Yarrowia lipolytica: one gene and its partner. The protein of the gene in region 2 interacts with the protein of the main gene of each other region in a pairwise test. Links are inferred from orthologs where the notes say so. Each region holds a gene or a part of one and is shown on either strand. Other genes may lie near its edges.

What was found. The genes of interacting proteins can lie anywhere in the genome.
Region 1: the proteins of YALI1_C05386g (region 2) and YALI1_D35190g interact in a protein complementation assay, tested with the Saccharomyces cerevisiae proteins (2 studies listed by BioGRID). The link is inferred for Yarrowia lipolytica from reciprocal best matches to the Saccharomyces cerevisiae genes PEX11 and PEX12.

What each region holds. Positions count from the first base shown.
Region 1 is NC_090773.1:3,515,666-3,521,358, reverse strand, and holds YALI1_D35190g (uncharacterized protein), read right to left. Parts: upstream 2,425-5,693; coding exon 1,198-2,424; downstream 1-1,197. Other genes in the region: YALI1_D35210g (uncharacterized protein), read left to right, coding at 443-1,027; YALI1_D35148g (uncharacterized protein), read right to left, coding at 2,739-5,693. UniProt on the Saccharomyces cerevisiae protein: Component of a retrotranslocation channel required for peroxisome organization by mediating export of the PEX5 receptor from peroxisomes to the cytosol, thereby promoting PEX5 recycling.
Region 2 is NC_090772.1:536,186-540,884, reverse strand, and holds YALI1_C05386g (uncharacterized protein), read left to right. Parts: upstream 1-2,282; coding exon 2,283-2,984; downstream 2,985-4,699. Other genes in the region: YALI1_C05372g (uncharacterized protein), read left to right, coding at 3,672-4,699. UniProt on the Saccharomyces cerevisiae protein: Involved in peroxisomal proliferation. Promotes peroxisome division and biogenesis.

The DNA.
Region 1 (5,693 bases), on a different chromosome or scaffold from region 2:
GGGAGTCTAGAAGTGAAAAGAGTCAAGACAAACCTTGTGGTGTCATCGCTTCTTTCAGAAGAGATTCATAGGGGTATGTGTGAGCATCAGGCGAAGGTGTCATAAAAAAAATATGCTGGTCAGTGTGAGTAATAGGAACATATGAGCAAAAATCGTCAGGGATATGTTTACATGCCTAGCTTAGGTGCTTTATCTGTAAATATTGTACCCTTCTTAACTACAGATAATGTCTACTCGTCTTTGCTGTTGTTGTTTTTTGTTTTTTGTTTTTTTATATAAAAAAAAAAACATTAAACTCTATTGTTATCACTTTTACCCAACTACACCCTAACCATTTCTGGTAAGTATTTACTTACATGCATCCATCTCCAACCCTAACCTTGATTGCTGCACTGCACGACATCTTCAAACGAGGACGTGAACAGAGAAACGAAAATCCAACATGGCGGAAGAAGAGGAATACAGCATTGCCACGCGTCCCGGAGAGGACGTGCAGATGGAGGAGGAGCTCGAAGTAGTGGAGCCTGAAGATGATCTTATCGAAAAGCCCCTCTCTCTGAGGGTAGACGCCAAAGAAGAAGCCTTTTATCTACAATACTACTCGGGCCACACGGGTCGATTTGGCCATGAGTTTTTGGAATTCGACTTTCAGTTGCTGGACCAGGGTCGATCTGCGCTGCTGCGATACGCCAACAACTCGAACTACAAGAATGACACTCTTATCCGTCGAGAAGTGGCTGTTTCACCAGTGGTGGTCAAGGTGCTCAAGAAGATGATCAAAGAGTCGGAAATCCTCAAGGAAAACGATGCCAAGTGGCCGCCAAAGAACAGAGACGGTAAACAGGAGCTGGAAATCAAATTTGCCAACTACCACATTGCATTCGAGACTGGTCGAATAGGATCCTTGTCGGATGTGCAGAGATCGGACGACCCCGAAGGTCTGCGGACGTTCTACTATCTGGTTCAGGATATCAAGGCCCTGGTGTTTTCTCTGGTGGGTCTGCATTTCAAGATTAAGCCAATTTAGGAGAAGGAGAATACAATCGGAAACAAAAGGTAAAGGTCGAGATTCGACAGGAGGTTCATATAAGTTATACAATGTACTGTAATTTTACAATGGGAAGCGCGCAAACACGCCCTGTCGCATAAAGATAAAAGATGCGTTTAAATGTACATGTTATGCTATAGTATGTATCGTTACACCATCAGTCGTCTCAGACCGGTCACCTGCCATACATCGTCCTGCCATCTGCATCCCAGCAGCTTCTGGCCAGTCACGGGACATCGACCGCCTGTCTCCTCGTCTCCATCCTCCAAATGTCGGTAAATGCAAGTGTAGCAAAACACATAACCTGACTCAATGACTGTAGGATTGACCAGCTCCTTGCTACAGAGAGGGCACTTGGAGGTGTCCTCCTTCCACTTTGCCACGGACTCCGCAAGTTTGTCGGCTCCCTTGACCTTATCTGGCACCGGAAGATTGTCTTCCAAGTCTCCTCGTCTCTTTTGATTCAGCTGTCGAGCGAAATCAGACGCGTACCACCACTCAAGGAACTTGAGGGCGAAAATAGAAGTGGGAAGCACATACGAAAGGCCGCTAAGAGCAGCAGATCGCATGGCGTTGGCTCCAGCCTTTGTTGTGAGCAGCAGCATCACACGCTCTGCAACGGGGTACTCGGAGATGGACTTCATGGTATGGGCCACGTTAGCAGCGTTTCTGCTATCTCTCTGGGTCTCCATCTGGTAGTCGTACCGGGTCATTCGAGAGAACTGAATGTTAAGCAGGAAGTCATCAATGCTATACGCCCTCGTGACGGAGAAGAGGAAGAGCATGTGGAAGGCCAGGGTGGCAGTGGTGCATCCCATGGTGACAATGGGGTAGAGCTTGAGAAGCCAGTAGTCAAACTCGAAGACTGCTATTTGTTGGGCCGTACCTGTTCTCTTGATCTCGATTCGCTCCTCATTGATATCCCTAGCTAGGTACCGGCCCTTGAGTCTCTCGTATCGCGCATCCAACTTCTCCTTCACATATGGCACCACAATGAGGAAAAAGAGTGATCCCCAGATTTTCTTCTTGCTCAGCCGTTTTTCAGCCTCGACCAGATCCGGCACGGCCTGGCGTGTTCTCAGTGCGGGATTCGTCAGGATCTGTGTTCGTTTCAGACCGTAGAACTTTTCTGTGAAGCTGGCATTCCATGTCTTGAGATTATAGTACTCCACCAGACCCATGAACAACGCGTACAGCTCGTCGTAGCGGTTGACGATTCGCAGTAGATACCGCGGATGTCTCTGGGCGTAGAATGCAAGAATATATCGAACCGAAGGGGCAATCAGACCCTCCAGCTGTTTAGCAGACAGAAGCTCAAACAGTGTGGGCACATCAGGATCCAGCTGGCTCGCGTTGAGTGACGAAAAGTAGTCCATTTTTTGTCGTGAGGAAAGGTCGTTTTGGGTTGATATGATATGATCAGGTTCCAATCGTTTGGCTTAACAATGATCAACCGCCGTATTGCTGGTTGTCTGGTGCTGTGGGGGCAAATCAGTCTTCCCTTCTTTCATGTTCAACTTTATGTGGGGTATGGATGCACAAACCTAATTACTTACCGAGGATGTAAAAAGTGCTTAGTAAGTGCTGTAGCTACGAAGTGAAGATACAGTGTGTTTCCCTAAAATTATGAAGAAATCTAATACAATATAAACATGCTATGGTTTTTGTTCGTTTGTTGCTATGGCAATTTTTACAAGGTAACCCACTGGCTACCCTTCTTCTCCTGTTTCACCTTAATAGGAGGCAGATCCCATCCAGTGCCTCCAGAGCCAATAGCAGCTCCCAGCCGAGGAACCACCCAACACTCTCGAGAGGTACTGGTGATCATCTTGGGGCCGTAGGGGGGAGGCAGGGGCTTGGAGTATGTGAGTAGAGCAGTGCCCTTGGCAATGTTGCCAATCTGGGCAGATGTGATATCACAGAGAGGCTTGATTCTCAGCTTGGAAGATCCCGATCGGTTGACGGAAGCAAATACCAACATTTCGGGAGGATGAGTTCCCATAGTGTTAATGACAGATCCGGGGTGAATGAACACCTGAGTGTCGTCAGGCAGAGGGTTTCCTTGGTCGTCAGTCTTCTTGTTGGTGGTGGAGGTGGGGAACAGAGTCTGGTAGGGAACGTTGATGATTCGCTCTCGAGAAGTGAGCTTGTAGTCCTCGCTGACCTTGTCCAGACGCTGAGCCACCTGGTCAACAAAACCAGTGGCAATCATCTGCTTGAGAGCCTTGATCTGGAGCTTAGAAGGAGGCTTGAGCTTGGCATTCAACTGTTCCTTGAGCATAGGAGCTGCTCGAGGGTCGGAGTTGGCCACAACGATTCGGCTCAGTTGCTGTCTCAGCTTTCGCATCTCCTCCATCAGCTTGTGTCGCAGGAAGAAGCCCTTGCAGAAGTTCTCCAGGTCGGAATCGTAGTCCATGGCGCAGACGGCAGAGAGCAGCTTCAGAGCGTCAGATGCAGGGTCCAGGGAGGCCAGCTTTGCCTGGGCCTTATGGTAGCTGGATCGCAGCTTTCGCTTTCGCTCAATCTCGTAAATGTCCTCGGGCTCGGAGTCAGACTCGTTGCTCTTAATCCGGTCTCCGTCTTCATCAACCTCCTCAACCTTGGGCTTCTGTGGTTTCTCATTGATGCCAAGCTCGTGCTCTCCAATGAAGGGATCTCCAACTGTGAGAGCAGCAACAATGGCAACCATGTAAGGCAGGCACTCGAGCTGAGAACCAATAATGAGCATCTTGGCGAATCGCGGGGACAGAGGGAACAGAGACATCTGCTTACCCATATCAGAAATAACACCAGTGTTGCTGAGGGCACCTAGGTACTCCAGCAGCTTCTCGGCCTTGGCCAGGGACTGTCTGTCGGGGGGAGTGGGGAAGGGGAAGTTGACCACCTTGTCAATACCCATGTGTTTCATCTCCAGAACAATGCCCTCAACAGGGCATCGGAGAATCTCGGGGATGGAGAATTGAGGGAAGAACTCCTCATAGACGGCAGATGAGAAGACACGGTAGCAGTGACCGGGACCAGTTCGACCGGCACGACCAGCTCGCTGATCGGCAGAAGCCTTGGAGATGAAATCAACCTCAAAGGACTGAACACCAGTCTCTTCATCGTACTTTCGCTCCTTTGCTCGACCACAATCAACCACATATCTGATACCAGGAATGGTCAGCGAAGTTTCAGCAACGTTAGTAGCAACGACACACAGTCGATGGCCGGCAGGAACCTCCTCAAACACCTTCATCTGCTCCTTGGTAGGCAGCAGAGAGTAAAGAGGAAGCACGTGCAGAGGAGCAGACTCATTTCGCTCCTCGACAGCAAGCTCCTCTTCGAAACCTTCTTCTCCGTCCTCCTCATCTGTCTCAGACTCTCCCTCGACAGCAGCATAGTCCTGTTGTCGCATATCGGCGCCAAAATCAACCTCCTCGGCCTCCACTACAGTCTCATTGGCAGACACCTTGACCTGGAGATCCTCAGACTTGTCCTTGGGCCGCCACACCTTAGTTCGATCAGGGAAGGCCTTCCGAAGCCGCTTGACCACGTTAACAATCTCGTTTTGGCCAGTCAGGAAGATCAGAATACCACCATCGGGCAGTCGTTTGTGGATCTTGCAGGTCTTTCGGTAGATCTCGTCCATGTAGTCGTAAGTTGTTCGTTTGTTGAAGTGGACAGAAACGGGATATTGTCGGGCCTCAACCTTGAGAACAGGAGGAGGAACTGGGAAAAGAGTCTTGTTCTCTGTGAAATCGGAAACCCGCAGAGTAGCAGACATGATAATGAGCTTGAGGGGAGACTCGCACTTGCCTTCGTTGAACATCTCCTTTCGCAACTTGAGAACTCGAGAAAGCACACCAATGAGAATATCAGTGTTGATGTTACGTTCATGGGCCTCATCAATTACCAGAGCAGAGTACTTGGTAAGAGCAAAGTCTTGGGACAGTTCTCGCAGCAACACACCATCAGTCATGAACTTGAGAGCTGTATTATCCTTCACGGTGACATCGAATCGCACCTGATGGGCAACTCTATCACCTTGGTTACCCAACTCGTTAGCAACACGTTGCGCCATAGAGATGGCGGCCACTCGTCGAGGCTGGGTGACACCGATCATACCAGGGTAGTCACTACCCTTCGTTCCGAAACCCGCCTCGATCAGGAATTGAGGAGTCTGTGTAGTCTTACCTGAACCAGTTTCACCACAGATGATGACACAATCGTTGTTGAAAATGGCTTCCATGATTCTCTGTTCTTCTCCGGTGACAGGAAGGTTCATTCGGGAGGTCTGGATTTCAGGGTCTCGCTGAACGTTGACATAAAAGGCCTTTCTTTTGGCGTACTCGGGTTGGGCAATGTCTTCGGGAGGAGGAGTAAGGCGGTCCTCGTCTCTGTCCACTCTTTCTTTCTTGATCTTGATATGCGAGAGATCCTCGATGTTGGAAGACTTGGGTCCAGACTGTTCATCGATCCATTCCTTGAAAGAAGAACCCTTTGTCTTTTTGGTGACGATTTCGGTATACTCGTCATCTTCCTCGTCTTCCTCTTCCTCGTCCTCATCTTCGTCCTCATCTTCGTCCTCATCCTCCTCCTCCTGCTCGTCTTCATCTTCTTCCTCTTCCTCGACATCTTCCTCGATCTCCTCCTCGGCAGCCGC
Region 2 (4,699 bases):
TTATACAGCGCTGTATGAATCTCTCTGGTGGGAGGGATTAAAGATGGTGTGTGAAACGAGTCTGCGACATGTCCCAAAACCAGACATGATTTATCAAATATCAGGCTTCACTAATTAGTAATTCGTTTGAATGAACGAGTTCGAAACAAGAGCGGTTAATCTGGCGTTACTTGCTCTGTATTGCAAGTACATGTGACTATATTGCTTTATAAACTCATACAAGCACACGTACAGTACATACGAGTGGTACGCGTCTACATGTGTGCGATTTAACCCCTTCATCGTGATGGAGCATACTCCCGCGAAGAGGCCAATTATCACAATCGCCAAAAACAGTTGTGAGAGCTAACAATCGGTTTCAACAGTTTCAACTGCTCGGTTGGATGCATGTCAGCTGTCTACGGCCCGTTTATCCTGCAAGCTCCTCTCAGTGTGGTACCTACGACACTATTACTCGTACTGGTACGACCGTCCCTGGGTACCCACTAGACAAGACGAAACGGAACCGAAATGGGGATAGAGCTACAGTGCAAGTAGTTATGGAACATTTTATGTTAATTATAGTCAAATGAAAATTAGGGTCGAGACAGGAGTTCGGGATGCTTGTGGAATATCTAGCTGTGGAATATCTAGCTGTGGAATATCTAGCTACTTGTACTCGTAAGTGCCGTATAGTAAGTGCATTTCCGTTGAATAAACAAGACTCTCTCTCTACTTGTACACTACAGTATATACCATGTTGGGTGCTACTATATCAAGCGTCACTATCAAAGCCACTGCATTCTCCACCTTCCACTCCATCCATGCTCTCAAACTCATGGCCAGTATAATCCCCCGGACTTGCCTATATACAAGTACTTGTGTTGCCGGAATGATCAGGTTTGGTCACGTGTAACATTGTACGATGCCTACTGACCGCCCTCAAGTATTGCATACATACTGTACCACCACTTGTACTCGTACTCCACCCTTGTTGGTCAGGTATGCTCTCTTCAGTGCCAACCCATTCTGATTGATCCCGAACCCCGCTCACTTGATGCTTTTCGATGTACAGCATGTACTGTACTTGTACTCGTACCGCTACATACAAAGACTGCATCTGGTCTAAGGGATACCGTTTAGCAGGTCTAGCAGTTATGGAGATTGGCAATCTCTGTGTCTCATCCATTGCTGTTCCAGTACTGAGCCGGCAGTCTAGTCAGTATTCGCAATCGCACAAGCTCTTGTACTTGTATGTACTGTACATAGTCATACTTTCAACTACTGGTATTGTACTGGCACTCGGATGTAGACCACCGTTGTCGAGATAGTTGCCCAGAGTCAATCTGGTCCAGTTCGGGGGCAAGCCATAATATCTACCCGGTGACACACGTGTCGAACCGTCTTTACGTGCGGACCACTGTTACAAGCCCGGCAACAGTCGTCAATGTACAGTGTCGAACCTGGTGGCAACACCTGTCACTCACCGCTTGGCACCCCACACAGTGTTCCAACTTGTAATCACGATTACATCATCTGCGGAAATCGAACTCACGCGCGGAGAAGAAATAATCCCAAAAAAAGACGGTCTGAAAAACCCACCATTTATCGGACTTGATCTGCACCCCATACTCTTCCCCATAATGTATAAACTCTCGGACTTGGGGTATTTTTGATTGGGGAGCTGCACGCACCCCACGCACTTGCCATGCTCTCTCACACACAAGGTATGAATGGTCCAATGGGCCTGGTCAAGGAGTAAGCTGAGTGCGTAGGCGTGGAGTGGAGTGGGTGCTGAAATTTAAGTGCTCAAAGAGTCGTGAAAATAACGTCGAATATCGCAGTACTAAAGGCGGGGTATTCAATCCTGCGACCCCTGCACTGGAAACCGTTGCCATAATAACAAATATAATATATATACAAGTACTCGAACATATATATGCCACGCAGACCGGCTCGGACATTGTCGTGTTTTGCTATATACACCGTTCTCCGGCTTTGCCCGATTTGCGTGCCTGCGGATTGGCTGAACGTGAAACAAGTTTGCTGCAACCGAATTAAACGGCTGAAGCCAGCAATCCAACCACCGAGTGGCAATCTACTGGTTCGCAGCTTTACAACCGTGCAAACAGCGCTCCGTCCCCCCCTTATATACACATGGTGGGACCTTCTCCACGTGAAAACTAGCCTCGGTACATTTAGTTCGGCAACCTTACCCCAGCTGAGCTTATTTGCGGTGGTGACGAAGACCGTTTTTAAAACCCTAGAGTCTCCCCTTCTTCACGCCAACACACACAAAAAAGATGTCCGTTTGCCTCGCCCAGAACCCCACCGTGACCCGAGTGGTCAAGCTGCTTGAGACCCACGTCGGTCGAGACAAGATCCTGCGGTCCATCCAGTACTTCTCGCGGTTCCTGACCTACTACCTGTTCCGAAAGGGCTACACCAAGGACACCATTGATATTTTCCGAAAGATCCAGAACCAGTTCTCCATGGCCCGAAAGCTGTTCCGAGTTGGAAAGCCCATTGGCCATCTCAAGACCGCCGCCGTGTCGTTCGAGAACAAGACCCTGGACCCTTGTCTGCGATACACAACCATTGGCCGAAACCTCGGCTACGCCATCTACCTGGTCTTTGACTCCATCATCTACATCAACGGCTCCGGCATCAAGAAGATTGACAACATCAAGACCATCAAGAAGGTCGGCTCCTACTTCTGGGCCTTTGGTATCTTCTGCAACATTCTCAACTCCATCCACAAGATCAACATCTGCAAGAAGAAGCGAGCTGCTCTGGCAGCAGAGAAGGAGAAGGACACCACCTCCGCCAAGAAGAACGACAAGGACGCTGCCGCTGCCCAGAAGCAGCTGGTCTGGGATCTCCTCGATTTCTCCATCCCCCTCACCTCTCTCGGCTACCTGCACCTCGATGACGGTCTCGTCGGCCTGGCTGGTTTCGCTACCGGTATTATGGGTGTCCAGAAGGCCTGGGCCGCTACTGCTTAGATAGATAACTCGCAAGAGACGTATGCTCAATAGGGAGAGCACAAAGAATAATGAGTTTTGACTGTGTTGTAGCAACCAAGTGTGTCTGTAGCGTTCCGTGTAGTTCTGCAGATGAACAATGTGTGCAGATAGCAGCATGCCAATCAGTAGACCTGAGAAGGTGTTACCAGTACGAGCACTGTACGACACAATTGATACATATCCATAAAACGCGTCTTCGGAGATAAATCAATGTCTCAGATGTACGATAAGAGCAGCGTATGATGTGAGTTGTATTGTGCATGGAGAAACTGAATAGCATAAGAGTGGGTAGAGAGAGGTGAAGTGGGAAACGATCTGTTTAAGAGGCATGGCATGGCTATATGTTCTCTGACGTCTCAGTATCACCATATGACCACATACTCCACATTCAATCCCATTGATATCCCTCTACGGAATCGAAGGATGTACGAGTAGATACTGAATCAACCATTGTCACAACCACAAGTGTACAAGTAATGACTAACCACCACTATCAATTGACTGGTATACAGTATCATATAGTTTGTTATAGTAGGACGCCTTTCAGTTCAGTTACTTGACAACAATCTCCTGATATACAAGTACTATCCCCGTATGTAGTCACGCGACCCATAAGGACTTCAACCAACATATAAGACCTCTGTGTATGTCACGTGATGGCATAAAATGTATATATGCTATTATTCGTTCTCCGTTTTACCACTGTCATATATTATTGCGATATACTGGCCCCTCATCAATGACATCCTCCTGTTTGTGCTTAGTAATCTTCCACAAACCCTAACCTGGTTATTCAACATGACGCATGTTTCGAGACACGCTCAGTATATCGTCGCCATGAACAAAGCACAGGGGAATCCGGCTGGAGCCGCTGCCGGCGGGGCGACCACGGCCCAGCAGCAGCAGCAGCAACAAGCTGCTCGACGTCGACGCGCGTATTTCTTCAGCGAAACGACGGAATCGTTGTTGAAAAAGTACGAGAAGGATGCTCCATCGTTGGAGCTACATATTCACAAGACACATTTCCGGTTTGGCAGCCAGGAGAGCGTGATTCCGAAAAACTCGCCGCTCATCAAAATCTTTCTTGAGTACGTTAAGGAGGAGCAGATTCCGCTGGCGGCCACAGAGGTGTTCAAGGATGCAGGTATGCGGTTTTACGAGGGATGTATTATTTTGGAGATTGTCGATTATCGAGGAGTTCCCGACAAGACCGAGGAGACGGAGCAGCAACAGCAGCAAAATCAACAGCAAAATGGTCAGGATCCTAATCAGCAACAGAATCAACAGCAGAATCAACAACAAAACCAGAACCAACAAGAGACACAGGAGCCTACAGTTCCGCCAAAATCTTACAGAACGCTACTGAAACCGACTCCGCTGTCCATATACCACGATCTCATGTACACAACGGACCCCAGTCACGGTCGATTCACCGACCAGCTGGCTCTGCTGATGGAGGCCGAGATTCTGAACCTGACGATCCGGAACGTCAACCTGTGGGTGTCGCAGGATAAGTGGAAGGATCAGGACAACAAGCGATACCTGTCTGCGCCCGTGACGGAGCCACGCACCTTCTCGTCGCTCAAGGAAGCCAACAAGCTACTGCACCAACACAGACCCGAGGGTATTGTGATCCAGAAGCCTCAGCATGAAGACGTGTTGCACCAGACCTCGGACATTGAAGAGCTCATGTT